4 linked regions of the Pelodiscus sinensis genome follow. The protein of the gene in region 1 interacts with the protein of each later gene in a pairwise test. Links are inferred from orthologs where the notes say so. Each region holds a gene or a part of one and is shown on either strand. Other genes may lie near its edges. The genes, in order: NUDT21, RBM48, MYL6 and RPLP1.

Region 1 (7,204 bases):
TGCACAGTACATCCTGAGGGTCAGCTACCGTAGTATAAAATTAGCTATCACTGATTTCAAAATATTTATAAGATGTGCACACATATGCTCCCTATTCTCTTCTGGATGCAATTCAAGGTACTGGTTATAATCTATAAAGTTCTAATTAAATGATTTGGGCTCCACTTACCTGAAAGGCTGTCCCTCTGCAATTGCAAGAGTAAACCACTGGCTCACACTCAGCTATTCCAAGCCTTAAAGCTCTCCACAAATAGCAGCAAGACACTCAAGTAGAGAGCCTATATCTGTGACCTCCTACTTGATCTCTGCCTGAGTTAGGAGAGTTCTTAAGCTTGTGCTTTCAGAGTCTGTTTGACAGACTTTTGAATAATCATTGTAGTAGCAGGGAATGAGTTTGTTAATAAGCAGGGGAAGTTCTCTTATATTTGGTTGATCGGTTCTTGATTTTTATTGATTTGTGCAGATGCTTTGATGCAAGATACTAATATGCATTTCTAAATAACTCATTTGAATCTGATAACTATTAAGGTCATTATAAACATTTCACTTGAAATCTTTTTAGGTGTTTCTTTTCTAAAACCTTAATCTTAGAGATAGCTTCCCAAATTCAGTGCTAATTTGGAATTTCTCCCCATCTTCCAGTACAGAGTATCAGAGCCAATTCTCATGCATGCTGCTATTCTACAAGCATCTCTAGTTTTAGAATATCTTAATGAACATCCTCTCAATTACAGGTCTCTTGCTTCCTGATCAATGGTGTCTTTATTATCTTTATTACCAGTCTCTTGTATTTTCTCCTCTTTATCTGTGGCTTTATGATTTCACCACTATTTTCTTCTTCTACTTAAATTATTTCAGAAATCTCAAATTATAATTCCTTCTCTAAAATAAGATTATATTTATCATAGAGAAGCGCTGTCCACTTTATAAATGTGTGATATTCCTTAATCTGGATCCAAAAAATTTGACTTGTACTAATAAACACAAATTCAAAGAGTTACAGCTTCTTGCTAACAGACTGTTTCCCCTCAACAAAAATCCCTGTAGATTAACATTTTCACTTTTAAAATTAGTTTTATCCATTTGGGCTTCAAAGTAGGGATGTAAAAGAGTAGTTGAGTCATCTTCTTACTTCCCCCCACCCTCCACCTTGGGGATGGAGAAAACAGGAGCCAGTGCTGGGAGAAACCATCTTAAAAGAGGCAAAGGCAGCAGGGAGGTGTGAGGGGTAGAGGAGGCTTCTCTGGCAGCAGAGCCTTGGGCTAGCCACACCCTGGGGCTGCTGGACCTGGTAGGAGCAGGGACTTAGCAAACAACAAAGAGTCAGGAAACACTTAGACTGATGAAATATCTAGAATTTGTTATCATGAGATTCTTCAAAGACAAAGAACCACTGTTGCCCTCATTGTTTGATAGGTAGGTAATGACCTAACCATCCAGTATCTTTGTTTAATCCAGAGGTGTGAGAATTGAACTTGCAAATGAGCTTTATTATTTGCTAATTAATGGTTCTTATCTGCCCCCTTTGACTATCTAGTCTTTAGGTACTTATAGACTCAGCTTTCCTTTCATATATTTTTTACCTACTGCCTTTTCTTGTTACCTCCTCCTCCCAATTTTCACTTCTTCTCCCCCCCCCCTCCCCGCCCATTCATTTTGGTCCTAGAAATCCAACACTCTGGTCATCTGAAGAAGTGGGCGGTGCCCACGAAAGCTCATGATCCCATCTACATGTTGTGTTAGTCTATAAAGTGCTACCAGACTATTATTTGTTGTTTTTTTAGTTTATCTGTACAGACTAACTCAGCTACCCCTCCCCCCCAAAAAAAAGCTCTGAGTGTGTAATGGTTAATTGTGGAGTACTGAGTATTACATTTGTTTGCCATTACTGCAACTTTGTAAACTTATCAAAGAAGAAAAAACTAAATGTGATGTCCACTGTAAAGCTAAGCCTGCTTCAATAAATGGCCCACTAAGGCAATCATTGCATACCAGCACTTGCATGTTACTTAATACAAATCAAGTTGCATCCTACAGCTTCCAAACATCCAAAAAAGGTACATATTTGTCCTGTAAACTCAGTACACGCTGAACAATGAGCACATATTGGGTACACACTTTTACATCCTATACACAAACTCAAGACACCACAGAGGTGGAAGGAATATAAACCCTCAGGAAAACAGGTGTGCAACTCTCCTAACTCAGCAACCCCCTTATTTAATCTCACTTAGATAGCAGCGGTATATTTACACCCCCCGTTGACGGTCCTAATGCCTCTCCTCACAAACTGAAGGTCTCCTCCAGGTAAAGAGCCTGCTCCCATTAAAGCCATCCCAGTTAGGCAGAATTCAGTCCTCTCCAGTGTGAGCAGATAGTGGGATCAGAAGGGGCCTCCTTCCCTCAGGCCCTCACCTCCAGCCTGAGGTGAGGGGCTAAGGCACAGGCAGGAGCAATGGGGAGAAAGGGCTGTAGACGGCCCTCTCCAGAGCCAGCAGCTCCGAGAGTTCAGGGTGTTGCTCCCTCCCCGGAAGCCGGGGGAGATCTAAGCCCGGGGCACGGTGAGGGTCTTCCACAGGAAGGGGGGGACGGGGCTCGCAGGTGGATGTGGGGAGATTGGGGGAGGGGCTGGGGAGCTGAGGGAGGGGGGGGCCGGGCCGGGGTCGGGGAGCTGAGGGAGGGGGGCTGGGGAGCTGAGGGGGGGGCCGGGGAGTTGAGGGGGGAGGGGCGGGCACTCACAGGTTGATGGTGCGCTCCAGCGTGAGCGGCTTGGTCTGCTGGATGTACTTGTTCCCGAACTGGTTCACCCCGCGGGGCCAGCCGGTCTGCGAGCGGTTGGGCGGCACCACGGACATGATGGCGCAGCGGCAGGCGGGAGGGGCTAGGTCACTGCTCGGCGGCGGGAGCCAATTCCACCATTAACATCCCCGCGCGCCAGGCCTCACACCCCGCCAATGGCTCCGCCGGAACCGACCGGGCGCGCGCCGGAAAGGGTAACCATAGAGACTGGCGCACAGAGCGCCTGGACCATAGAGGACAGCAAGCGCGCCGCCACCCGCCCTACGGCGCACGCGCACCACTGGCGGCTTGTAGCCTCGCTCCCCTTGGCTTCAGGGCCGCGCTCTTCTCGGCTCATTCCGATTGGCTCCCTGGGCTGCGCGAGCGCTGCTGGGAGTTGTAGGCCCCGCGGGGGTGGCTGTCCCCGCGCGCTGGCGGAGCAGAGGCTGTTTGACCATGAGCGCGAGCCGTCGCGGCCCGCGGGCCAGGGAGGCCCCGCAGGGCGGGCCGGGCAAGAAGCGGGGCAAGCGGGAGGTGCGCGGGGAGTTCTCCGCGGCTCTCAGGGAGCCGGCCCTGAAGGAGAAGGCAGCGGCCGCCTGGGGCCGCAGGGAGCCGCTTAGCCACGGTACCGATTCCCGGGGCCCCTCCCCCACTCGCTGAGGCGCCCGGGCCTGGCCTCCCCTCTCGGCCCCCGCGGGCCAGGGCGGCGGCGAGCTCGTGGGGAGCCCGAGGCGGGGCCTGGCCTCACCGTGTCTCGCTTGCTGTCTCCAGAGGCCGTCGCGGTGGATCCTGCGCCCTTCTGTCACTGCGTGATTCCCCGCTTCATCCGCAGCCCGGGCTTCCTGGACGGGCTGCACCAGGAGCTCGCGAGCCTGGATTTCCGTGAGAAGAGCAACGACTTGTACAAGTTCAAACAGGTGCGCTGCCATGGTAGGCCCGAGTGTGTCCGCACCGATCTCACAGCGCTCGCTGTGTGTTCATAGCCCCGGTCTGTGCTTGCAGCTATTTGTGAATTCAGACTGGCTCCATCTCACTTGTGTCAGTGAAACTTCTGTCGTTCCGGAGGGTGCAAAAAACACACTTCGGACCAACATTAAGTTTCACCAGCAAAAGTGCTGATGTGGACAGTGCAGCTACACAGGAGACCTTACAGCAGGGGTGTCTAAACTTTTTTCAAAGAGGGCCAGATTTGATGAAGTGAACATGCGTGAGGGCCGACCATTTTGCCTGACATTCTTTGAGCCATTCAAATTAAATGCAAATTAACTATTTTATGCAAAGTTTATTGCAAACGGCATACTTTTCATTTCGTCACATGGATGACAAATCTAAACAGGTGTTAAATCACTCTGCCTTTCATATCTGAAGGCCAGATGAAAAAAAAATCCAGGAAGCTGAAATATATGTCAGGAACATTGTAAAGTACATTACATATTATTGGTAATAAAGGTTGTCTGTCAACTTTTAAGTTCAAAAAATATGAACAGGAACGTAACACCAAGTATACATGTTGTGTCCAAATATATTTATAACTGATTTAGACCAACTGACATTTTACAATGTATTCATCTCAATACATATGGATTCGTTGGGGGCCATAAAAGATAGATATTGCCAAATTACCTGTGGGGCCGTATTAAACCGGAACACGGGCCGCAATTGGCCCGCGGGCTGGACTTTGGACATGCCTGTCTTACAGCGACACTGCTGTACAAATGCATTCATGTTTCATAGATCTAGGATAAGCCTCATGACACCTGGACCAGTGTGTGTGGCTATCATAGCTGATAAAGTTGAAATGTGGAAATAAGCAAGATGACATGCCATGGTTAATGTTGTCAAAAGCTGTCACTAACTGTTGAGAAGCGCTATTTTAGATGCCTAACTTAAATGAATAAACCCTGGGAAAATGCTTAAAATGTATAATTTTGCACAACTATGTAAAATGTAAATCTATGTAATTAACAAAGTGTAAAGCAAATGCATGTTGGAACTATTTTTATAAGAATTTATTCAAGCCTAATTCTGACCCATGACTTTATCTGGTTTGTAGGGGATCTCAAGTTAATGGCAAAGCTGTGAGTGAAACTCCTTGACACCTATGTTTATGCTGATCATATGTCCCATTTTTTTCAGGACTATCCTGAATTTAAATGATCTGTCCCAGTGCCCCATCAAGTAGAGAAATGTCCCAGAAAGCCCCGCTGGACATTTCACTACTTGATGGGATACTGGCGCAGCAGCCTCCTCCCCCCAGCAGGGCATGTAGGGCTACTGGGCCAGTTTCCAGTGGCCCGCCCTTTCCTCTCTCCCTCCCCCCACAGGACCGCCTCTGCTATGCAAAGTCCTGGTCCGGCAGCCCCACCTCCTTCTCCTCCAGGCCGCCTTGGAGCCTGGCAGGAGCCGTGCAGAGCCTGGCTGAGATGCTGCAGGGTGAGGGGCGCTTGGCTCGGCAGGTGCCATGACAGGAGCAGGGGCCGCCTGTGGAGCTATTTTTAGTGCTGCAGTCCAGATCATGGTTGGTGGCCCAGCTCCAGCTGGAGTCAAGCAGCAGTCATGCAAGGAGTATTCTGGTGAGACTTCCCCAGATGGAACGTGCCTCGTAGGGCTGCCACTTGGCTCCAGCTGGAGCTAGGGCCGACCACAGAGACTGTACTGCGGCACTAAAAATAGCACTGTGGGCAGCCCTGGCTCCAGTTGGAGTCAAGTGGCAGCCACACGAGCCATGTTCCAGCTGGGTCTCGCGCAGATGCCGCTGGACTCCAGCCGGAGCCAGGGCTGCCCGTGGGGAATGGACTGCGGCACTAAAAATAACACTGTGGGCGGCCACAGCTCCAGTCCCGGCAAGTGGTCCGGCTCTGGGAGCATCTGGGGCTGCGGGGACTTCTGGGGCTGGTCAGCAGGCTCCACCCCCACAAACTGGAAGGCAGAAGCTGAGGGAAGGGGCAGGGAGAGAACTAAGGAGAATGGAGGAAGGGACTTGTGCTGAGGCAAGGGGGGGTACGCCAGGAAAAGAAAGGGGCAGGCACCAAGGGGCAGGATGCAGGAAAGAGAAATGCCAGGCCAAGAGGAGACAGTGAGGAAAAGGAGGGAGGGGAGAGGCAGGGTGATGCTGGGAGAGGAAAGGGGAGGGACCGTGGGGGCAAGAGGGAGGGAGAGGAGGAGTGAGTGCTGGGAGAAGAGGCATTTAAAGGCGCGATGGACCTGAGGAAGGCAGGGGATGGAGCAAGTCGTGTGAGGGCACAGAGGGGAGTGAGGAGAACTGGGGTAGAGGGTGGTGAGGGAGTGGGCACCAAGGAGAAGGAGGGCAGGGGCAGGGGGGAAGGGAGAGGCACCAGGAAGGTATGTAAATATGATTAAGGAAGATCATTCTTCTTGGGAGGTGTTTAGGTGTTGTGTTGCTTGTCTGCCTGTACCCATATGAGCATGAAAGAGTATTTAATGATGACTTTTGCAGAATAATAGGTGCAGACTAACTTAGGAGAACACAGGTTTAAACCTAGATAATAGACACTGGGGGCAGTGTCCCCTGCTCGCTCCGCTCGTCAACCCTCCTCTCTGGGGGCAGGCAGCCCTGACTTCCCACCCCAGAGCTCCGGGGAGGCTGGGGAAGCCACGTGGCTGCCACCCTGTCCCCAGGAGCTCCAGGGAGGCCACTTAGCTGCTGCCCTCTCCGGCATCAGAGAGGCTGGGACCCTCAGCACCAGTATGGGAGTGAGGGAGGAGGCTGGGTGGCTGAGGAGGGAGGAACTGCAGGACGCAGAGTGACATGATGGCATCACTCTCTCATCCTGCAGGAAAAACTTACACATGTAGAAAGATTAGTAATCCTCTTCTGCTTTCTCCACCCTCTGGCACGCTAAAAATTGGCTGTCCCTCCATCTCTGTCGTCTGAAAGAGAAATCCCTATGTGTATATCCTGTACAATGCTGAAAGTAGAGGCTCTTTTGAGGTGTGGTAGCCGTAGAATACAGATACTCCCCTCCCAAGTGCAGACATTTCCTTGGCAAGTCAATGACTCAGCTTTAATATCGAGTGTTGGACCAGTGCCCTGAGACCTTTAACTTGCATTGGTGAAGCTGGCATTGTGCCCTAGTAACTTTTGGGCTACTTAATTCGCCTTTTGCCTGCAATGGCCCTCTGCCATCCATTCTGCACTCCGGTTCCTGCAAGAGCTGTAAATTACACTGATGATACTTATAGACTTATTTAAGTTCTGCCCTTATTTATCGCTGCAGCTGTAACTTAGAGCAGAGTCCAAATTAATAAATTGTTCTTATTTTCCATGCATCTCCTTAGTCTGATGATCTGAGGAAGAGGAAAGAGCCTTACATCTCAGCATTAAGGTAAGGTAGTTCCTAGAAATCACAGCAAATCATTAGGCACCCTTTTCTAGAGGTCTGAAAGGAACAGGGCCAAAAAATGA
Region 2 (6,899 bases), on another chromosome or scaffold:
CAACTGGGGGAATTCTACCTTTGGTGGATCCATGACCTTAGGGCCCATTTACCCTGCACAAGGATCAGAATGGGGCTAAGACTCTCACCTCATGTTTCTTAGCTATGCTTATGTTTCTGATAAATGAGATCACACACCTCATTATCAAGAAAAGAAACTAGGGAAACAAAAGCATTAAAACCTATCCTTTTGTTAATCCCCTATTCACTATTTGTTTTATATTTTTTGTGATCATTTAGAATCCATTGAACACTGAGAACTTCCCATTCTGCTCTTAAAATACTGAAAACACAGACACGCACACTTTGTAGAAAAGTAAATAGGAACAATTAACTATAAGAATAGGCATTTTTACTTTGCTAAAACATACCCACAACACAAGCGATACTTTAAACTTTCAAAAGGGTGTCCAATTACAAACCTCTATTACTTGTTGCTTTTGCTATATACTTTCTCCTGTCTTGCAACTTCTCCCTTGTTTCTTGGACTGTTTCAAATTCTGGAGCATAACACACATGAAGCAAACTACCAAAGAAACTCCGTTCATCCATTTTTCTCTTGGCTATCCTAAATGAAAGAAAATTGCATTAAAATGTTACATTAGTCCAATATTACCATAGCTTACATTTTAACAAACGTATCTGTGGATCACTGATATTCTCTTGATCTATGTTTGTAATAAACGTTTACATGACTACACTGTACAGAGAACACATCATTCTTGTATTTACCAAGCATATTTACGTGGAATAAATATTTTACCTGAATCTCAAGAAATTTACTTGAAAATATATTATATTAAGAAACCAAAGATTGAAGAAAATGGAAAGCATACAGATGTTATCTGTTGCAATACCTTGCACTCTGTAATTTTTGGAATTTGATAAGATAAACTTCTGTAAATTGTTCCGCTGGATACTCATCTAAAGCATTGTACTCCTCAATGGCACCATATAATGCAAACTGTTGCACTAATTCCTTCATGACACCCAAAGCAGGAACGCCTTGTATTAGCAAATAACGAGATTCTAAGTTGACAGTGTACACCTAAAAGAAATAAAAACATTTACATACATTTATCTTGCAATAAAACATTAAATACTATATTCAAGCAGCTCAAGTATTTTTCTTCTATTGACCTCTTAGAACTTTAGAAAATTTTAAACATTCCCCCTTGATTTCAAGCCTGGAATCTTTCAAAGAAAGTATTATAGGGACTCCCAACAAACAGAAATCTGTAAGAATTCTATGATCAGCAGGGACTTCCTCATCAGTGACTGGTTATAGAACTCAATCATTCTGATCCAAAAGCAGATGCCTACCATTTGAGTTAGGTTTATTTCCGATCTGATCCAGTAAAGAGCAATGCTATATAGTCTAGCCAGTACATTACATGTGCTTTTCAACAATGAACATGTTTGCAGGATTGGGCCCTGAAGCTTGTATGTATTGTATGCAACCTTTCAAGACAAGATAAGGGAATACATTTTTCAATTTATTTTCTACAATTCTATGATTCAACTGAATGCTGGTAGGCTTTCTGTAGCATGTAACAAGACATCTAAAATGAGGCCAAAATAGTGCAAGAAGAATTTTGAAATGTGAGATTTCTTTCAATATTAATGTTTCCTATAGTTTCATAATCGAACATTCCTTACATTAATGATTAACACTCCCAATATGGCCAGGTTTGTGTGGAGTGGGGGATGTTAAATGTGGCCGGAACAAACTGATGTTTGTTGTAATGAGAGACGCACATATGTTAATCAACACAACACAACAAATAGTCTGGTAGCACTTTAAACACTAACAAAAATGTAGATGGTATCATGAGCTTTTGTGGCCCACTTCTTCAGATGACTGGAGTGTTGGAAGTCCAGAACCAAGAATAAATAAGACAAGGAGAGATGGGGGCGGGCAGGGAGGAAAAAAATTGGAGGGGAGGAAAAGAGGACATTGGGTACATACTTTTCAAAGGGATAGCAGAGCCAGTCTGAAACAGGAAACATTTAAAAAACAACAAATAGTCTATTAGCATCTTAAAGACTAAATAGTTAAAAGAGGCTGATAATCATTAGTTTGCACTATGAAAGGAAGAGTAGTGACACCAGATTCTACACAGACATCAAGAACCATTGACACCTCCTCATCACTCCTTCCTTTATTTATTCTTGGTTCTGGACTTCCAACACTCTGCTCATCTGAATAAGTGGTCTGTGCCCACAAAAGCTCATGATACCATCTACACGTTTTGTTAGTCTTTAAAGTGCTACCAGACTATTTGTTGTTAAGTTTTTCCTGTTACAGACTAACTCAGCTACCCCTCTGAAACTTTTAAATATGTTAATCAAATGGTTCCTAACTCATTGGTGGCAAGCTTTATATCGGTTTTTGCCAGAATGAAACCTCATTAGTTTCCAGGCAGCGCCAGGTAGGTGAGAGTGTGTGATGGGGTGATTTGCAATCCTGCACCATCCTATCACCCCAACAGGCTGCGGCCTTTGGATCACAATGCCACAAAACTGAACACAGAGCGTGCACCCACAGCCACTGGAGAGCAAGAGCCAGCCAGAGCCCCGCCCTGTGCCGTGCCCCCGGGTGGCCTTAGCCTGGGCCAGGGAGTGAATAACTCTGCCCCAGGCGCCGCAGCGTTCGGAGCAGGGTGACGCTCCCGCAGGGAGAACAGGAGGCGGCTAGAGCAGCCCGCAACCTGGCGCGTACCCGCGGGCGGGCGCGGGCATTTGAAGCCAGATGCTCGCCCAGGTGGCCCGTAGCCCGGGCTAACCAGTGCAGGCCCCGCACATTCCCACCTTCACTGCGCGGGGCCTGCGCCCCTCCCGGTACTTGGCGCGCGAGTCGCAGACGCCCTGCTGCGCGTGGTGTTTACAAAAGCCCCCAACTCCATCGCCAGGCACCGCCATCTTCCCATCTCCCCCCGCGCGCGCCACGGCCAGGCAGCACCAGTAGCTCCCCGAAACAGCAGCCAGTCACAGAACCGGGGAGCGATTACGGCGCGCTCATTGGCTGCGGGCGGGGACGCGCAGGAGAGATTTGGGCTGACCAGACAGCACCTGCAGAATCCCTCGAGAGAACAGCCAATCAGAGAAAGCGGGCGAAGGGGGCACGCACGCTCATTGGCCTGTGGCGGGCCGTACCAATGTTGCTGGAGGGTAGGGGCCAGTACTGAGGGCTCGTGCTTCCTTCTCTCTGGCCACACGGGGTAACGCTCCCTGAGTGCGGAGCGGCCGCTCGATGCTGCCGGGGCGCGCCGCGGCTGGGTGCGGCCGGGGCGATGTGGGGCAGCGGCTACCCCGGAGGCGCGGGGGGCGCTGCTGTGACTGTCGCCTTCAGCGGCACCCGGGACTGCTTCCTGCACCTGCCGCCTGCGCTGGCCTCCCACCTTCGCCTGCAGCAGGTACTGGGGCGGGCCCCGGCTGGGCGATGGGACCCTCGGAGCGGATCGTGGCAGAGCCCCGCCCCTCTCCCCACCAGCATGCGGGAGGGACTGGGAGGCGCCCCTCTAACTTTCATGGCTTCACCCCTCCTCGCCAGCATCCCCCTCAGGGCTACGGTGACATCGCTTCAGTCCCGCTCCCCCGGTCCGTTAGACCCCGCCCCCTGCCATCCTAACGCCAGGCCGTTCTCTCGCCGCTTCCCTCCCCCCAATGCCAGTGATGCAGTGACACCCCCTGCCAGATCTCCTCACATACCACCGATTACCCCACTGCCAGCGACATCCCATCACCAGCACTTCCTTATCGTGCTCCCCCTCCATGCTCGCCAGTGGCGCCCCTCAGTGCTCGCCAGTGGCGCCCCTCAGTGCTCGCCAGTGACAGCAACTCCTCTGATGCCAGCACTTTATCACACTCCCCTCACACCAGTGCCCTCTCAGCCAGTAATGCCTCCAAAGCCAGCAATGCCTCCAATACCACCATTTCCTCACAACAGCCCCTAATGCTAGCAAAACTACCAGCACCTCCTCACAACCCCTGAGGCCAGTGATGACTCTGATACTAGCCCCTTTGCATTGCTCCCTTTCCATGCCAGTTACACCCACGCTGCTTGCAGTGCCCCCAATGTTAACATCTCCTCACTATGTCCGCTAATGCTAGTGATGCCCCCAGTATTAGCATCTCTTCATGACACTCTCTGCAATACCAGTAATTCGTTACTACCACCAGCACCAACACACAATGTCCTCACAATGCCAGTAAGTTTTCATGGTGGCCCCAGTGCCAGTGATTCACTTTGAATCGACTGCCTCACAAGACCCCTGATCTAGAGGTGTAAAAAGTTAACCAATTAACTGATAAGCATTGCTTTACTGGCATGCTTATCAGTTAACCCGTTAATTGGTGTGGAGAGCAGCCAGCCGCCCACAGCACAGCTATGGCTGGTTGGAGCAGCCTCTCCACCTGCTGCAGGGTGTAGGAGTTAATTGCGGAAGAGTTTTGTACATGTAAGTTTAGGGGTGTGAGGCCTGCATTCTTACCCCTTCCCCCATATCTGATGAGCCAGAAGCATGTTTTTGGGAACATATGCCATTTAAGATAAGCATTGTTGCCAGTATAGCAAGAACGAGGGTAAAGGGCAAGAACGCATAAACAATCCTGTTTACTCTAATGCACTGATCACTTAAACAAGGCCAAAGAACAAGTAGAACAAAATCAGAACCAGATGGATAACTAACAGCCGAGCCCTACATCAGCAAGTAATGAATAACCCCTGGAAATTTCCATACTGCCAAACAAGGCAAGAAAACTGTATTTAAGACTGCTCCAAAGCACAGCAATTTGGACCTCACCGATGGGCTTTGGGTACCGGTGCCTCGGAAGCTGAGACAGTCTCTCACTTTGTCCGGCTAGCCAAAGGGACGTAAGATATGCCACTTTCTGTAGAGTTGTCTTCAACTCTAGTTGACTTGTCCAGTGAAACAAAACAAATGCAGTGTCATATATTTTTGATACATATACATGATACAACCCCTGCTTGTCTCCTTCCCCCAAAAAATTGTACCATGGAGTGTTATCCCTGATTCCTAATGATACACAATCTGCCTATACTCATCCAATTCCCTCCTAATATCCCCTTCTTTTACATTTTCCACACTCTTAACAATAACTTGATAGAATCTAAATTAATCTTTAAAACAATAAAGAGCCAAGAAGATGCATATATTGAGGTACCAAACGGGTTCGTAACCTTTTGTGTGTGTAAATCTCTACCTTCGTTACTTTATGTTTCTAGTATCCATCAAAGCAAGGCCCCAGTGATCAAATCAGAGATAGATAGGCAGATCTTTGCACCGGCATGGAGTGTCGTATTCAGATTTTCAATGATTCAGTGTATTACAGTGTATTTCTGTCTTGTGCTAAGATGCTACATTATTTGTTAAAAGAAAGCATGGCAAATCCAGGAACAAACCGCATTTCTTCATTTTGTAATCAAATGTCAGGTTTTGTCTATACTGTTAATGAGAACAAGCAGTATTTGTGGAGTATAATTTTATTTACATTGTTTTCTATTAATGTTATTTTGTTGTCTGAAATCAGCAGGGCCAAGCTGTGAAAATCTCCTTGGGTTACCAGCCTATATTTTTGAGTTGGATGGAAATTAGACATCGTAATCACCATGGTGAAAATATTGCTGAAATTAACAGACACCTAGCAGAGAAACTTGGCATTGCAGAAGGAGAACAGGTTTGGAATGCACTTTTTTTAAACAAAATTTCTGGAAGAAATAATGCTTTCATTTAGGTTCCAATTGTGCAGCCTGTTCCATGCAGGCAGACAGATCCCCACTGTCCTCACTGGGACTGAATGCAGCAATATTATTGATGCTGCTATTTCTTTTCACTTTGTATCTGTTGTGTTCACTATAGGACATCTATATCCTAAGCATACCACAACAGCTATGTTTTACTTCTGAGGGAATTGGGGAATTCTGCATTATTGAGCATCACAGAATTCAGATTCTTTAACCCATGCCTAAGCTTTCCCGCACAAAATCACAGGGAAGCAAAGGGAAGCTGCAAGAGTGTGGTCACATAACTGCATGGTATTTGGCACTGGGAGTAGTTGGTCTGGGGATGTCCATGGATGTAGTTTGGGGGAGGCATTGCTCCCCCAATGCTCCCCCAAACAGAAGCAAGGTATGGGGGGGGGGGAGTATGGAGGATATTTGCCACTGTGTTGGGGGCATTTCTGCTAGGAATGCGATTTAGGAATGTGAACAATTAGTCAACTGTCTGATAAATGATTATTGGATAGTCTACAGGCTAGTCGTCTAATTGCTTCCTCCCACCTGGCTGCCTCTCTCAGAAAGAAGCAGCAAGGGGAGGAAGAGAAGGGGTTACTTCAAAGCAGCAGCACCACGTGGAGCGTGGGGCCAGACCCTGGGCTCCAGGCGGCAATGCTGCATGGAGACTGGGCCAGCTGGGGTGTCCCCAGGCTGCATGCAGCATTTCAAAGCAACAGCGTTGCATGGAGCCCGGGGTCACCGGGCGAATCCCCAGCTGACCCCAGGCTCCACACAGCACTTTAGCTTTTGAAGAGTAGCAACAGCTTAAGGGCTGTTGCTATACTTCAAAGGCAGAGGTGCCCTATCAACTAATCAAATAGTCGATGCAAAATATATCGAGCATTTGATTAGTCAATTCACTTGATATTTAACATCCCTAATGTGATTGCGTATCCAAGTACACAGTTAACTGATAAGCCTGGGCTCATCAGTTAACCCTCTTGGTCACATGCAGACCCCACCCCCACTGTATCAGTGGCAGTAGTGTGGGGATGGAGGGGCAGTCGGGAGTTGGTATGTGCAGGGAGCCGGCTTTCAAGCCTTCTCTCTTTCTCTCCCGCCCCTGCCCCCCCCCCCCCCACCCCCCCCACACACACAGC
Region 3 (7,274 bases), on another chromosome or scaffold:
GAAAGGTCTAGAGAACATGAGCTAGGAGGGAAGACTGAAAGAACTGGGCTTGTTTAGTTTGGAAAAGAGAAGATTGAGGGGGGACAGGAGAGCCGTTTTCAGGTATCTCAAAGGGTGTCATAAGGAGAAGGGAGAAAACTTGTTCTTCCTGGCCTCAGAGGACAGGACAAGCAGCAAGGGGCTTAAACTGCAGCCAGGGAGGTTTAGGTTGGACACTAGGAAAAACTTCCTAACTCAGGAGGGTGAAACACTGTGCCGGGGGGGGGGGGGGGGGAGTTGTGGAATCTCCATCCCTGGAGACGTTTAAGAGCAGGTTAGAGGATGATAGCTGGTGCTAGGTCCTGCTGTGAGGGCAGGGGACCGGACTTGACGACCTCACGAGGTCCCTGCCAGTTCTCTGACCTGCCCTCGACAGGAAGCCTGGGATAAGGTGCCAGACTGGAGAGCCCCAGGTCCAATTCCCAGCTCTGCCCCAGACTGGTCACTGTCACGCTGCGCTAGCCTGAGCTCAGACAGCTGTTGCTGCCGGCACAGACTGATGCTGGGATAGGGGGGCAGGGGGGGAGAATGACACATCTCTGGCTAGAGCCGCTCCTAGCTGAAGGGTTGCCGGGCCTCGACTACCTCCCCAGTTCCCCCCCCCCCCCCCCCCCGAGCGACGCAGCCGGCTGGTGGAGTCGAAGGGAACCGCCGGGTGCAGAGCCGCCCAGATCTCCTTTCCTCGTCGGATCCAGGTTCCCGGACGCAGACTCGGGGAAGAGCCAGGGGGCTTGCATGGGGCTGCCCATTCGCTGAGCCCAGCCTGAGCCAGGGATGGGAGACGCCTGCCTTTGATGGCAACGCTGCACCCGCCTTAGCTGGCAGGTTGGCGCCACTTGGGTCCCCAGTTCCGCCTTCACCCGGCCCTAGAGGTGCTCACACAGTAATTGACGCTAAGGCCAACCGGGGGCATCAGGGCACTGCAACGCCCAAGGGTCAGCCCCGGTGAGTCTCGCACGAGGGATGTGGCCATGGGGGCAACAGCCAAGAGTGGGGTCTTGGCAGGGGAGGAGGCAAAGCGACACCTTGCACAAGACAGCCCTCCCACCCCCTAGCAGTCTGCCCAGAACCTCCATGGGAAGGAGAAAGCTGCAGAGCTGGGGAAAGGACCCAGGAGTCCAGGATCCAAGCTCTCCCCTCCCCCCACTTTAACCCACTAGACCCCACCACTCCCCTCCTGAAGCTGGGAACGAACCCAGGAGACAGGGCTCACTCCTTAGTGCAGTGCTTTTCAAACTAGGGCTTGCGGCAGCAGGGGGAACAGTGGGGGGCTAAGGCAGCTCCCTGCCTGTCCTAGAACCACAGGCTGCGCCGCGCCCCATTAGTGGCCGGCAACAGGCCGGGCTCCGGGGACGGAGAAGAGCGCACAGGACTCGGCGGACTGCCCGGAGCGCTAGACCCCACTCCCCACTCGTTGGCTGGGAACCTGCTGCCGGCTGCTTCGGAGGCTCAGCCTGGTCTGCAGGGCCAGAAGAGGCAGGAAGTTGCGTTAGGGCCCCCGCCGGAGCCGTGCAAGGTAAGCCCCCTGCCCTAGCCATGGCCCCCCAAGCCAGAGCCCCTCCCTGCACCCCATCCTCAGCCCCCACGCCCGCCACATGATGCTGCAACCCAGCCTAAACATTTTCTTCAGCTGGGTCATAAGGAAAAAAGTTTGAAACTCACTAGCCCTAGGCACTTCCTGCTGTAGCCAACAGCAAGCACCTGCCAGGGGACCCAGAGAGGATCTGGCCCCTCCCCACGCCCCGGTTAGCGGAGACCCCTCCCCACGTCCCGGGCTGGCTGATCCCTGCCCGGAACGGCCGGGCCCCCCTTGCCGCCCAGGCGGGCGGGCCCCGGGCCGCGGGTTTTGTGCCCGTATATGGAGATCCAAGCGAGGCAGCGCGCAGGGACTGCGCAGCGCAACATTCCAGCCGCGACCCCTGCTCCGGGTGTCTCCCGCCCCGCCGGGGACGGGGGGGCGCCCGAGCTGGGAGTTTGCCACGGGTGATTGCCGGTCCCAGAGCTTTGCAGCCATTTTCCGCTGCGACCACACCCCGCCTGCAGCCGGCCACCCCTCCCCTGACTCACAGGCGGGGGGGGGGTCCACGCAGCGCCCCTAAAGCCTAATCTGCCCCCCATCCGGCCGTGCTGGGTTACCCGGCAGAGAGGCCCGCAGGCTGGGCGGGGCCCGCCGGGCTGGGCCAGGAAACTGCTCATAGGTGAGCCATGCGCGCAAAGGGGGGGCAGGTGAGTCACCCCCAGACTCAGGATTAGGGAGCTGGGAACCCCGGAGCAGCAAGAGCCAAAGTCAGCCCGGAGAGAGCCCCCCCTCCCCCCGAAGCGAGGGGCCCCGTGTTAATGGGAGGGGGGAGCGATCACACAGGTAGGGCCGGCCCCACTTACCGCCGGAGGCTAGAAAGAGGAGGCTACAGGAGAGTGAAGGCTAGTGACAGAGGAGGAGGAAGGTCTATAAGGGAGGGAGAGAGAGCGGTGAATCCTTCGGCGGCGGCGGGACGCGCCAAGGAGTCACCCCGAGATGAAAATACCGCGCAAAGGTTGCGCAAGGAAGGGGGGAGGGTCACTTACCGGCCGTCTGATCCTCGGAGAAATCGCACTGCAAGGCAAGCAGAGCGGAGCCGCCGTCAGCGGGGCTGCCAGCCCCCCCCCCCCCCTCCACGCCCGCGAGCCCGGACCCCCAGAAGCGCTGCGCCCCCGGGAGGCAGGTCGCTGGCTTAGGCGGGCTGGGACCTAAGCGTGACCCCCCCACCCTGGTGCTCGCCTCCCCCTCAGTGCGCCCCCCGTGCGCCCGAAGCTCGGCCCCCCTCCCCCCGTGCACCCCAGCTTGCCCCCCCCCCCTACCATGGCGGCTGCAGCTCCACTCCCAGCAATGGACCCTGCGCTCTGCTTCCTCTGCCCTTTTTTTACAGACGTTGACGTCACCCCGGCACTCGCACGCCATTGGCCAGTGCTACTTAACTGCGGCATCAGGCCTTAGACGGGGGAGTCGCTCGCAGCAGCCCCGACTTTGTCTATAGATAGACATGGAGATGGGGGTCTTGCGGGGGGGCCGGACCGGGGAGGGACCCAGAGGGGGTTGGAGGAATGGGGGGCTAGGGGGACCCAGTGGGGGATGGGGAAACAGGGGGGCAGGGAGAGTCCCAGAGGGGGTTAGAAGAAATGGAGGTCTGGGGGTGTTCCGCAGGGGGTTGGGAAAACAGGAGCAGGGAGGGTCCCAGCAGGGATTGGGGGGCAGGCAGGGTCCCAGCAGGGATTGAGGAAATTGGGGGGCAGGCAGGGTCCCAGTAGGGATTGGAGGAAGTGGGGGGCAGGCAGGGTCCCAGCAGGGATTGGAGGAAGTGGGGGGCAGGCAGGGTCCCAGCAGGGATTGGAGGAAGTGGGGGGCAGGCAGGGTCCCAGCAGGGATTGGAGGAAGTGGGGGGCAGGCAGGGTCCCAGCAGGGGCTGGGGGAACAGGGGGGAGGGTGGGTTTCATTTCATAGAATCCTAGAGCTGGAAGAGACCTCAAGGTGTCATCAAATCCAGCCCCCTGCTCTAGGCAGGACCAATCCCAACTCAATCAACCCGGCCAGGGGTTTGTCAGGTGGAGACCTCTAGGGCTGGAGATTCCACCCCTCCCTAGGGAACCCATCCCAGTGCTTCCCCACCCGCCTAGGGAAATAGTATTTCCTAATATCTAACCTTGCCCTCCTCCACTGTAACTTGAGACCATTGCTCCCTCCATCAGGACTGAGAACAGCCTCTCGCCATCCTCTTTGGACCCTCCCTTCAGAAAGTTGAAGGCTGCTCTCAAATCCCCCCTCGCTCTTCTCTTCTGCAGACTAAACAAACCCAAATCCCTCAGCCTCTCCTCATAGGTCATGTGCTCCAACCATTTTGGTCGCCCTCCGCTGAGCCCTCTCCAATGCGTCCACATCCTGTCTAGAGTGGGGGGGGGGGGCAGAACTGGACACAATATTCCAGATGTGGCCTCACCAGAGCCGAATTTAACAGAACAGCTCTTCAGGGACCAGGGGCAGCATGTACATGGGCATTTCCATGGGACCCGTTCTCTGTGCGGGCGCTCGCCTCTCAGCAGGTGACACCCCCGCCCCCCACAGGTGTGATCACCCCGCACCAGCGGGCAGCCTCGGGGAAGAGCCTGCAGCCCCCACACCACCAAAGCATCATCCATAACGGGGCGCCTGGGCCAGCCTGTCTCTCCCATCCCAACCCACCTGCCGGCTGAGCAGGGCGACGGTGCTGGGGAGTGAGAACCCGGCAGCGGCCAGCTGGGTCCATTCAGCTGACATGGCTGCCAACAGCCTAACCCAAATGGGGCGGAATTCAAGTCGGGGGGTTTAATGAGCAGGCCCCTGTTCTCTGGCAGTCGCCCGGCGCTGACCCTGCTAGGTTTAGCTGCCCCAAACACCTAGCGAGTGCTCACTCAGGCAAATCATCTTCCAGCCCCATGGGAAAGACACCCCCCCTGAACCCCACAAGCCTCCTGCCCCCACCCCAACAATTTGTCCTTAATGCGTCAGATTTCTCTCACTTTCATTGATCGCTCTGACCTGCCTGAGAATTAACCAAGCCCTGCACTAGGACTGGGTCAGCTCGGGGCACCTTTATTTCATGCCCCTTTTGGGCTACGGACCCCTCAGTCCAAGTGTCACCCACTCCCCCGGTGCCCTGTGCTGCAGCTGCAGTTCTCGGCCTCCAGGGCAGCCGGGCCAGTGGGACCCCCATGCCGGTCCGCGAATGCCCCGACATGGCTCGGCTAGTGACAGGCCTCAGCCTGTGTCTCCGTCTCGGTGGCGCTGACGTGCCGAGTCTTTTCCAAGGAGAGGGCAGAGGAATTCCAAACCGCCTGGAGCCAGGTGCCTCCCGCTGGAAGGCAGGGAAGGTGCTGGCTTTTCCCAGGTCCCAAATGGGCCATAACACAGCTAGTGGCTAGTGTTGCCAGATATCTTCACAAAAAATCCCTAATATGGTGGGGAAAAAAAATTGGGTGAGGGGGGGAAAAAAAAAAGAGTTGCTATGCCTTTAAATTCCTGCGTTCCCCACTCTCTGCACCCCTGCCAGATGCAGCTGGGGCAAAATGTCCTCACTGGCTTTCCGTCCCAGAAAAACAGAAAATACTGGACATTTTACATTTCTGGTTTTTTTTTTAATCCGGACAGAAGATGCAATTACCGGACTGTCCGGGTGAAAACCGGCCACCTGGCAACCCTACTAGTGGCTGCTCCCTGACTGAGGGGTAACGCCAGGGATTCTGCAAACGGCAGGCGGGGAGGGGAAGGGGGCGACCCTCCACTGCCGATGGCACTTTTTGGGTCTCGCTGGCAACCCGAGGACGCAGCAAATGGAAAAACAAAAGGACAAGAGCGGAGTTTGTGAGTGCCGGGAAAGAAACCAGCAGGGGAGGAATTCCTGCTCCCAGCAGGGGGCGCTGTGGGCCACAGGGCAGGCCTGGGGGCTGCTGGGGCAGATCCCTGTGCTTCCAGTCCCAGCCTTTCACCCCCATACAAATAGGAACCAGTGGGTGTGTTTCCCCGAACTTCTCCAGGACCCTGCTGCCATTCCCTGGCTCTGGACTCCAGAGCTCACCTCCCCAGGGAATTCTGCCAGCACCAGGGTGTCTGCACCACGGCTCCCCTGGAATACTTAGGGCGCCGGTGGGGGGGGGGATTTTCCCCCACTAGCAGGAGGCCCCACACGAACCCTAGAGGCCAGAGGCTTCTGGAAACAAACGGCTTTTATTGTCCAGACGCAGGACGGGCACAAGGGGGATTGGGTCCGTTCCTGCCTGGGGATCTGGAGCGGGGCCGCAGATCTGCTTAGTGGGCTCCCCTGGGCTGGGCCGTTGTTCTCGGGGGGACCCTGCGACACCCCCCTTGCTGGATCCTCAGCCACTGGTGTCCTGAGGCCTTGGAGACTCCGGTCAGGCGTTTACAAGTCCTTTGCAGCGGCCATTGGTGGGGGAGAGGGGTTAGAGAGAAAAAGGGAGCAGCGGACATGCCCCCCCCCCCCGCAGACTGATGGGCCTAGGAGTCTTCACCGGAGATGTCAGGTGCTTAGCCCCATCCTGCCCGGCCTGGGGAGAGAAGAGGAGACAGTGAGAGGCCCCGTGTGGCCCATCTGGGGAGCTGGGGCCCCATTTGGGGCAGGGGCAGGAGGAGGAGGAGCCGCCCCAGAGCTTCGCTTTGATCTCAAGCTCCGTGCCCCGGGGCACAGGCTGGAGGGAATCTCTCCCCGGCACAGCGGGGCCAGCGGGTTGGTCTCAGGTGCCCCAGCGTGCGCAGGGCACCCGCTGTGCCCGCAGGATGCTGGCCTAGCAGAGGCGCTGGGAGCCGGGGCGGTGTTGGTGAGTTGGAGCTTTCGGGAGCCCCGCAAGGGACGTGTGCTGAGGGGTGGGGAAACTGAGGCACGGGAAGGGGCTTGCCTGAGGCCACGTCAGAGCTGGGCGTAGGGGCCAGGCACCCCGATGCCCTATCCTGAGTGATAAAAGCAAAGCCTCGCTGCCCCCTTTGCATGGGGCTCTTCCACCCTGGGGCCCCCCTGGGGCTCTGGAGGCAGCTCCCCAGGCCCCTCAGAGGTTTGATTGCACCCTGCAGGGCCCCGTTAGGGACACGGTGCTGCAGAGTGGAGCTGGGCCGGTCTGATGGTCTTGGGCCACAGCTGGTACCAGAGCTAGTTCACCAGGCTTGAGCCAGACTCACGCTGGCCCTGTCTGCGGGCATCCTACCCGGGCCTGTTTCTCAGGCAGCATGACCTAGTGGTTAGCACGCGGACCAGCATGCGGGAGACCTGGCTTCTGCGCCTGGCTCAGCCACTGACCTGCTGCTCACCTTGAGCAAATCCCTCTGCCTCAGTTTCCCCCACTAGAATGGGACGAAGGACGCTGAACTGGGAGGTATTCCGGGGGAGGGGATCGGCCGGGAAAACACATCTCTGCCAGAGCAGAGGGGTTTTACGCTACACAGGTGAGCGAGGACCTGCCCAGGGCCTGGCAAAGAGGCAGGGTCGAGGGGAAGGGGGTCTCAAGGTAGAGAAAGGAGCAGCCACCCCCAAAAAGGAGTCTGACGAATAAAAGGGGGCACCTACCCCATGTTGCCTGCTCAGCCAGACAGGATGTGTTTGACGAAGGCTGTGAGGGGAGGAGAGAAGCATTAGTCACAGAAAGGGGCCACTGGGCCCCCCCCAGCCCTCTGGCTCAGAGCCTGCGGCCAGAGGGCCCCGAGTCCGGGCTGACCCTGG
Region 4 (7,825 bases), on another chromosome or scaffold:
ACTACTTGAGCAGTTTAGTATTGTCGGCAGACTTTGCCACCTCACTGTTTGCCCCTTTCTCCAGATCATTTATGAATAAGTTGAATAGGATTGGTCCTAGGACTGACCCTTGGGGGACACCATTAGTTACCCCTCTCCATTCTGAAAATTTACCATTTATTCCAGCCCTTTGTTTCCTGTCTTTTAACCAGTTATCAGTCCATGAAAGGATCTTCCCTCTTAAACCATGACAACTTAATTTACATAAGAGCCTTTGGTGAGGGACCTTGTCAAAGGCTTTCTGGAAATATAAGTACATTATATCTACTGGATACCCCTTGTCCATGTTTGTTGACCCCCTTCAAAGAGTTCTAATAGATTAGTAAAACATGATTCAAGTTTTTCTTTGTTTTTTATTACAGATGGTACAAAAAGGCAGTTTAGTCGAAGAGACCAAAGCCCATGTCATCATCAGATTCCTCAGATTCTTCTTTCTTTTCTTCCTCTTTCTTCTCCTCAGCTTTAAAAAAAAAGGGGGAGAAAACGGTTAAAGTCAAGACTCAACTAACCTCCAGGAAGAGTTTACAATGGAAGAATCACAATTGTAAAATAGCTTTCCAATGTAATTTGTGGTGCTTCATAAGCACATCAGTACCACAGCCAAAGAATCTAATCCACAGATTATCAGTGCCCTTACTCCATGCAGTGCCTTTGATGACCAACACTGGAGAACAGGGAGATAAAGCAGTGCTTTTAAAATTTCAGTAACAAGCCTGCTCTCCCCATCCAAACAATGCCTCTCTCGTAAGCTCACTATTTTCAAACTATAGTTATGCCCTTTAGCAGTCAGGAAACAGTAGTTCCGCAGACTGAATTCATATTATCTTAAGAGATCAGAAAATGTAAAAACGTAACTATAGCTAACCACACAGAACAAAATGCTGTTTATTGCAAATGTCTGACAAGTTTATCTATTACAAAGCAGTTGTAAGAATTCAAAAATACAGTGAATTAGACACCATACAAAGACAGGATTTATCACCATTTTACACAGTCATGTCTTCTGAAGTTATGCCAAGATAACAGAAATCAAAGCATTCACTTACCAGGGGCAGGACCACCAACAGGAGCAGTGCCTCCAGAAGGAGCAGCAGCCGCAGGAGCACCACCAGCTCCTACGTTACAGATTAGGCTTCCAATGTCAATGTTAGCTAGAGCCTAAGAATATTTAAAATTCATTAGAACTATATTTTACAGAAGTTGCACACTATTCACTGCTGTTTCAAGGATATTTAAAAGTTGCATAATTCAGCACTCTTGCACATAGTAAATTGGTCAGGCTAAATCGTAAGTTAGATTTAATAATGCATTTCCTTACTACGGTGCGTGGGATGCTGTCAGTCTCCTACTGTAGTTATAATTGCAACATGCTGCAAGATAAAGTAATGATCCATCTCAACTTACAAAACTGTATAGCGACAAGTTTGCCAACGTAACTCAAACAACTTTGACCAAAGCAAGCTTTTAACATTAAAGATGCCATGAGAAAGGTTAACTGCTCTAAGCAACGTTTTTGTCTAATTTAGCAAGATTTGGTTAATAAGATGGGTCAGCACCAACTAAAGGAATGAAACTGCATACATGTCAGAATACATAATTTGTCCTGAAGTATCTTTAACAAGACGTAGAGGGGAAAAAAGCCATCTGAGTCCCCAATCTCTTATGATTTTTCAGGGCAATATTAAAAAAAGCTTTTCTTTTACCACATAAGCCAACAAATTGAGTCAGAGTTTGATGTCAATTCTATTTCTGAATGGCTCTGAAAAGATGACCAACCCACATCTCTAGGCACATTAGAGCTTCTTATATGATGTACCTATTGCTCAACTCCAACCCTCTGAAACACCAGCCAAGGCACTGAACTCTCCAACTAGGGTTTGTATATTTTGGCCTTCCATGCTCACATAACTAACCAGTGTCACCACTTTGCTAAAATTTGTTTTCATCAACACCATTCAATGCTGATAAAATTTTAATTAATTAGATTATCAGTTGGGTATTTAATCAGAGGAAGAGGATTCTCAAAATATCAACCTCAACTACATTTGGACAGTAATTTAATAGCTATCTGCCAGAGTGCCAGAAAACTACTACTTGTTATCTACAAACTATTCACAAATCTCAGCTGTGCACAGGCCGAAGCTACCTACTGCACATGCTATACTTGGACCCACTACAATTCATTGATCCACTTTTCTGTTATTTCTTACCTTTGCAAAAAGGCCTGGCCAGAACGGTTCAACATTTACTCCAGCTGCTTTAATAAGTGCATTAATTTTGTCCTCCTGAAACAATTAAACATGCTGTTATAACAACAAACAAGTCAGGCACCGGCACAACGTGCATTTCTAGTCCTCTCCCAGCCATTGTGGCCCAGGATCTCCAGCAGGCACCCTCAGTCCCTCACGCACGTGGAGACCAGAAGGGATACGAGTCCGGCCTTGCCTACGAACTGAAGCAGGCGAGCGGCGTCACGGAAGCTGCCACAGGGCCCGCCCGCCCCTGGGCCGCGCTACCCAGCGAGCTGCGCTGCCGCCGCAAAGGCCGAGCTCGGGAACAGCCACGTCCTGCCGCAGGAACCGGGCGGAACCGGCGCGGTCGCGGCGCAGCGCAAGCCCGGAGCCTGGTGCGGGGCGGCCCGTGGCCCCGCGTGGCGGAGCGCGCCCCCGACTCAGACGCTCTGCGGCCCAGGAGGGAGCCAGGCCGAGAGGCTTCCCCACCCCCCCCCCCCCTTCCCGCGCAGGCGGAGGCGCCCGCCGCCATCTTGCGCGCGTGGGGCCGGGCCGGACGCACCGTGACGGTGACCTCGTCGTCGTGCAGGATGAGCGCGGCGTAGATGCAGGCGAGCTCGGAGGTGGAGGCCATGGCTGGATGGGCGCGCGGCGCGGTGCTAGTCGCCGGGGTGGAACGGCCTTAGCTTCAGCTGAAGGACCCAGCACCTTGTGCGGCCAGAGCGGAAAGAGGGGGGCCGCGTTTCCGGGACAGGGCTATAAATCCAGCCTCAGCCAATCACAGGCCGGAAGCGGATCTGTCAGCCAGTCAGTTGGAAGCAGGATATTCTTGACCAATCACAAACATGTGCGGTCCTAGCCAATCAGAGCAAGGCCCCGCTTGTGTCGGAAGTGATGGACTCTCACGGAAGTATCCGAGTCCAGCCGAAGGGGGGACGGCAGGGAGAGCTAACGCGCTGAAGCAGCTGGGGGGGCAGGTGCGAAGTGGACGAATGTCTTCCGGGCGCGCCTGAGATCTTGGCCATTGCAATGGAGAGAATCCCTCTCTCTCACGCCCGTGTTCTCTAGGTTCATGCAGGTTCTGCTCACAGCCCCACCTACATAACGAGAGATAAAAAGGTAGCAGCTAGCACCGTATGTAGGGCAAGCTGCCCAGCAAATGACAATAGCAAACAGACCAAAAAAGTCACACGCTAAGTTTAACAGCAGATGTGAAGAAAGAGTATTATCTAGTACTGTGGGGGCTGTAATGTGACCCTTACTGACGATAGCCTTCTCCTGAAGATGCTATCATCCCTGCTTAGGAAGATCTTCTATGACAGTTTCTCAACCTTTTTTATTAAGTACCCCTTTTTCAAAAAAAATTGTAAGTTCCCCTTTTAAAAATATAAAAGTACCCCCAGCACCTACAGTTTTCAGACACATAAAATCTTTTTCTACCATTACAACACATTTGTTTAAACAATTTAATCGTAACCAGGTGGGTGATGACATTTTTGTGGGTAAAAAAGTACAAAAATAATAATGTGCTGTAAAACTTAAAAGTTCAATTTTCTCCAAATTTCAGTTGTGTTGATGTACTCCTCACACTTCTCTTGAGTACCCCTGAAGGTACAAGTACCACTGGTTGAGAAACACTGTTCTATGAGATCAGGTCATTTGATATAGTTAGTAGGGTTGTAAAATCCCATTTAATTGGCTAACTAGTTAATGAATATGTTAACTGATTAAAGAGAAGGTGAGCCTCACTGGAGCATACACACACACCCTGCACACTCCTGGGTTGGACCACCTCCCCCTTGCCACAGGCAAGGACTGCTCCAGCATCCCAAGGAGAGCAGCCCCTGCCTGCAGGGGTGACCTGGCCCGCTGTGGACTAAGATTTGCTGCAATTTATAGAACTGCTTCAAGTCACTGGATGCTTTTGGGGTTGTTGGTATAATCGCTTCATCCAGTGTAGTAGTCAGGATTTACTGATGTAGTGTCCTGAACAGGTCTCTTCCTCCATCAATGATAACCGTTCAGACATGTGCAGGTGTCTCCATCCTGTGTGTTATGTTGACTTTGTACAAGTAGTCAAAACAGCAGACTCCAAGAGAGTCTTCAAAGACCACAAAATCAGATAAGGATAGAAGGTGCCTGGCTAGGTTTATTCTTAAATGAAGTACAGTAATAGCTGTAAGTAGATTCTACTGAACCATATCTCTTTATATACAAGTACAAATAAGTTACACATCACTCTAGATGCTGGCAATAATTTTTGAATGGGGGCCACTTCAAAAAAATTTAAGTGATCACAGGCCACTTTGGAAGGGGGCGGGGCCTCAGACAGAAAGGGCAGAGCCTTAGGCAGAAGGGAAGGAACTTTTAAATGGCAGTTGAAAGGGCTTGTGCCTCCCCTGCAGCTCCCAGGCATCAAGTTAGTAGGGGACAGGCGCTGCAAGCTCCTTTCAATTCCTGCTATTTAAAGGTTTGCTGCTCCCAGCCTTGGTGCCAGGGATGCTAGAGTGTTCCCTCTAAGATTTTCCATCCTTGGGCGGGTTGAATTTTCTTTTGGGTGGGTTGAAATTTTTTATGTGCAACACCAATATTGAGGTAGTGTGTGGATGTCCACCCACCAGTACAAACAAAAACACTAGATATAAGTATATATTTTAAGTAGTCCACAGGTGTGGAAGAAAATATATTAAAACAAGGGATAATTAACAAGGAGCAATGCTTATGATTATTTAATATGAAAACAAACGAAAAGAAAATTAACACTACCCATGGCTGAAGAAGTGGACTGTGCCCAGGAAAACTCATGATACTATTTATATATTTTTGTTAGTCTCTAGGGTGCTACAGGACCATTCTTGTTTTTTAAGTTTTCTTAGTTACATAGTAACAGGGATACCCCTCTGAGAACTTGGAGTACACATATCATCATCCTTTCTAACAGATGTTTCTTGTAAATAAGGTTTCATCCTACAAAACAGCATCACTTGCTACTTCTAACTCATAAGAGCCAGAACTCTACCACATAGCAAAGATCTGGCCTTAATGCAATACAATTAACCATGTATTAATTAGTAAACAGGATTTAAAAACAGATCATTAAGATCAGAGTTTTAGATATCTGCAAGTCAAAAATATTCTGTTAAAATAATCTTTTTCTTCCTTATGTCTTTCTCAAGCTGAAATGTAATCATGCAAATGTGGCATACCCACACACAGTGGCTACGTCTAGACTGGCATGATTTTCCGCAAATGCTTTTAACGGAAAAGTTTTCCGTTAAAAGCATTTTCGGAACAGAGTGTCTAGATTGGCATGGACGCTTTTCTGCAAAAGCACTTTTTGCGGAAAAGCATCCGTGGCCAATCTAGATGCACTTTTCCGCAAAAAAGCCCCGATCGCCATTTTCGCGATCGGGACTTTTTTGCGGAAAACAAATCTCAGCTGCCTACACTGGCCCTTTTGCGCAAAAGTTTTGCGCAAAAGGGACTTTTGCCCGAACGGAAGCAGCATAGTACTTCCGCAAAAAGCACCAATTTCTTACAGTAGGAAGTCAGTGCTTTTGCGGAAATTCAAGTGGCCAGTGTAGACAGCTGGCAAGTTTTTCCGGAAAAGCGGCTGATTTTCCGGAAAAACTGGCCAGTCTAGACACAGCCAGTGGGGAAGTGTAACAAAGAGGATCCCAGCCCAGCCAATTCCCCATTGGGAGGACAAGGGGAGAAACAGGGAGGCTGCTACATTGTTAGCAGTTCACAGGATAGGGGAGGATTTGGGAAAGAGGCAGAGAAGTTGAGCCAATCTGGCAGGTCTGTAACTTACCCAGCTTCTTACATGTGGCTGGTTGCAGGCAATGAAGCAAAGTTCCCTCCTCCCCTTCAGCAGACGCTTCAGCACGATCTGGGTCACATGATCCCCCTGCGAGTACCGACCCTCCAGAGGAGTGGGAAAGTGAGGGGGGAGGACCACAATAGAGGCTGGGGCCAGTACAGCAGGCAGGCAGCTGCTGCTGCTTCACTCCTCCACCCCATGAGGAAGCAAGTGTCTGTCCCCCCGCCCCTTCCCCAACCTGAGCTCTGTACCTGCATAGGGGGCTCTGAACCTCTGTGAGGGCTCAGAAAAGAGCTGGGCAGCCACACCAGTGTGCAGTCTACAGGGAACCTTGAGCTAGAGCCCTTTCAACTACTTCCATTAAAAGGGCTCATGAGAGTCCTTTAAATAGAAACAGTTAAAAGGGCTCACCGCTCCCGCTACTAGCATTGCTTGGGAGCCTGAGACACGCAAGCCCTTTAAACAGAAGCAGTTAAAAGGGCTCACAGGACTCCAGCTCTCAGGCAATGCACTAGGGAGCAGAGCCTGGAACAGCCACACAGGCTGGATCAAAGCCCTAGGCAGGCCGGATCTGGCCCATTGAGAGGCTTTTGCCCACCCGTTCTGTAGACATGACAGATTGCTATCCTCTGACACTATGTAGAGGCCACCCCTCACCCTGCACCTTGTGGCTTGATTAGAACATCTCTCATTCATCATGCTATCATTTTAGATCCTTTCCTGACCCTGGATTGGTATGTCCCTGTTATGTGTGGGGAGCGTGGGTACCACGGTCCTTTTTAATTAGATGTTGTTAGCATCCTTCTGGAATATGCTTTCAATTTATGACCAGTACCAATTTCTGTTTTACAGCCAGTACCTAGTGCCAATTACTGTTCTACACCTCAGCCTATTACCAATTAGTGTTTTAAACTATCAGCCCTTTTTGTGAGAAGTTCTCTGAACAGAGGGCCTGCCTTTTGCTCACAACTTAGCTTTGCTTTATATTAACAAAGTCTTGACCATTATTAACTAGGCCTGAGGCCTCAAACCAGGCCTATTTTACATGAACTTTTATTTCAGGCCCTCATCTTACTATAGTAAGGAGGAGTTACAGGCAGATGAAGTATCCTCCTGGTCTAGTTCAGACATCCTCCCTTCCTCCTCTGTCTCTCCATCAGGAATCTCAGAAGTTCCTCTTGGTGAGGGTGGAAGTGATCTGATTTCCCATCTTCCTGGACCGGAGGATCTGGTGTAATGCCTCCTGTATGTGGTCTATGAGTCCCACAAAAACCATTTCATTGGATAAGTTGGTGATAGAGCCAGGGTTGTCCTCACCGGGGCTGCATCTGGCCAGAGTGATGAGGCTCATGTCTGGTAGCTTCCCATGGAAGCCTTCTCTATGTTGTTGAGGGGTTTGTGAAAAATAGTGGGGCTATGTCTACATTCGCAGCTTCTTGCGCAAGTACTGCTGTTCTGGCGCAAAAATCTGCAGAGTGTCCACACTGCCCGCCCACTCTTGCGCAAGTAAATTTACAGTACGGCGTGGTAAGAGAGGGCTCCTTGCGCAAGAGCTATGCTCTTTTTTAACAGGTGTAAGCCCTCTTGTGCAGGAGTTCTTGCGCAAGAGGGCAGTGTGGACGTTTGGCAGGGATTTCTTGTGCAAGAAAGCCCTATGGCTAAAATGGCCATCAGAGCTTTCTTGCGCAAGAGAGCATCCACGCTGCCATGGGCGCTTTTGCACAAAAGCACA

The links.
Region 2: the proteins of NUDT21 (region 1) and RBM48 interact in a two-hybrid assay, tested with the Homo sapiens proteins (2 studies listed by BioGRID and IntAct). The link is inferred for Pelodiscus sinensis from reciprocal best matches to the Homo sapiens genes NUDT21 and RBM48.
Region 3: the proteins of NUDT21 (region 1) and MYL6 interact in binary tests that used the Homo sapiens proteins (3 or more experiments, as listed by UniProt). The two-hybrid records come from large-scale screens. The link is inferred for Pelodiscus sinensis from reciprocal best matches to the Homo sapiens genes NUDT21 and MYL6.
Region 4: the proteins of NUDT21 (region 1) and RPLP1 interact in a two-hybrid assay, tested with the Homo sapiens proteins (2 studies listed by BioGRID and IntAct). The link is inferred for Pelodiscus sinensis from reciprocal best matches to the Homo sapiens genes NUDT21 and RPLP1.

The regions. Positions count from the first base shown.
Region 1 is NC_134722.1:44,118,432-44,125,635, reverse strand, and holds the start of NUDT21 (cleavage and polyadenylation specificity factor subunit 5), read right to left. Parts: upstream 3,012-7,204; 5' UTR 2,856-3,011; coding exon 2,740-2,855; intron 1-2,739. Other genes in the region: prolyl 3-hydroxylase OGFOD1, read left to right, coding at 3,235-3,403, 3,550-3,695, 7,078-7,124. UniProt on the Homo sapiens protein: Component of the cleavage factor Im (CFIm) complex that functions as an activator of the pre-mRNA 3'-end cleavage and polyadenylation processing required for the maturation of pre-mRNA into functional mRNAs.
Region 2 is NC_134712.1:213,672,282-213,679,180, forward strand, and holds the start of RBM48 (RNA-binding protein 48), read right to left. Parts: upstream 3,006-6,899; 5' UTR 2,922-3,005; coding exon 2,811-2,921; intron 1,048-2,810; coding exon 857-1,047; intron 568-856; coding exon 422-567; intron 1-421. Other genes in the region: peroxisomal ATPase PEX1, read left to right, coding at 3,293-3,415, 5,553-5,699. UniProt on the Homo sapiens protein: As a component of the minor spliceosome, involved in the splicing of U12-type introns in pre-mRNAs.
Region 3 is NC_134729.1:4,087,886-4,095,159, forward strand, and holds the start of MYL6 (myosin light polypeptide 6), read right to left. Parts: upstream 3,019-7,274; 5' UTR 3,004-3,018; coding exon 2,878-3,003; intron 2,633-2,877; coding exon 2,605-2,632; intron 1-2,604. Other genes in the region: myosin light polypeptide 6, read right to left, coding at 7,136-7,164. UniProt on the Homo sapiens protein: Regulatory light chain of myosin. Does not bind calcium.
Region 4 is NC_134712.1:7,725,726-7,733,550, forward strand, and holds RPLP1 (large ribosomal subunit protein P1), read right to left. Parts: upstream 3,016-7,825; 5' UTR 2,905-3,015; coding exon 2,833-2,904; intron 2,325-2,832; coding exon 2,250-2,324; intron 1,198-2,249; coding exon 1,086-1,197; intron 500-1,085; coding exon 420-499; 3' UTR 373-419; downstream 1-372. UniProt on the Homo sapiens protein: Plays an important role in the elongation step of protein synthesis.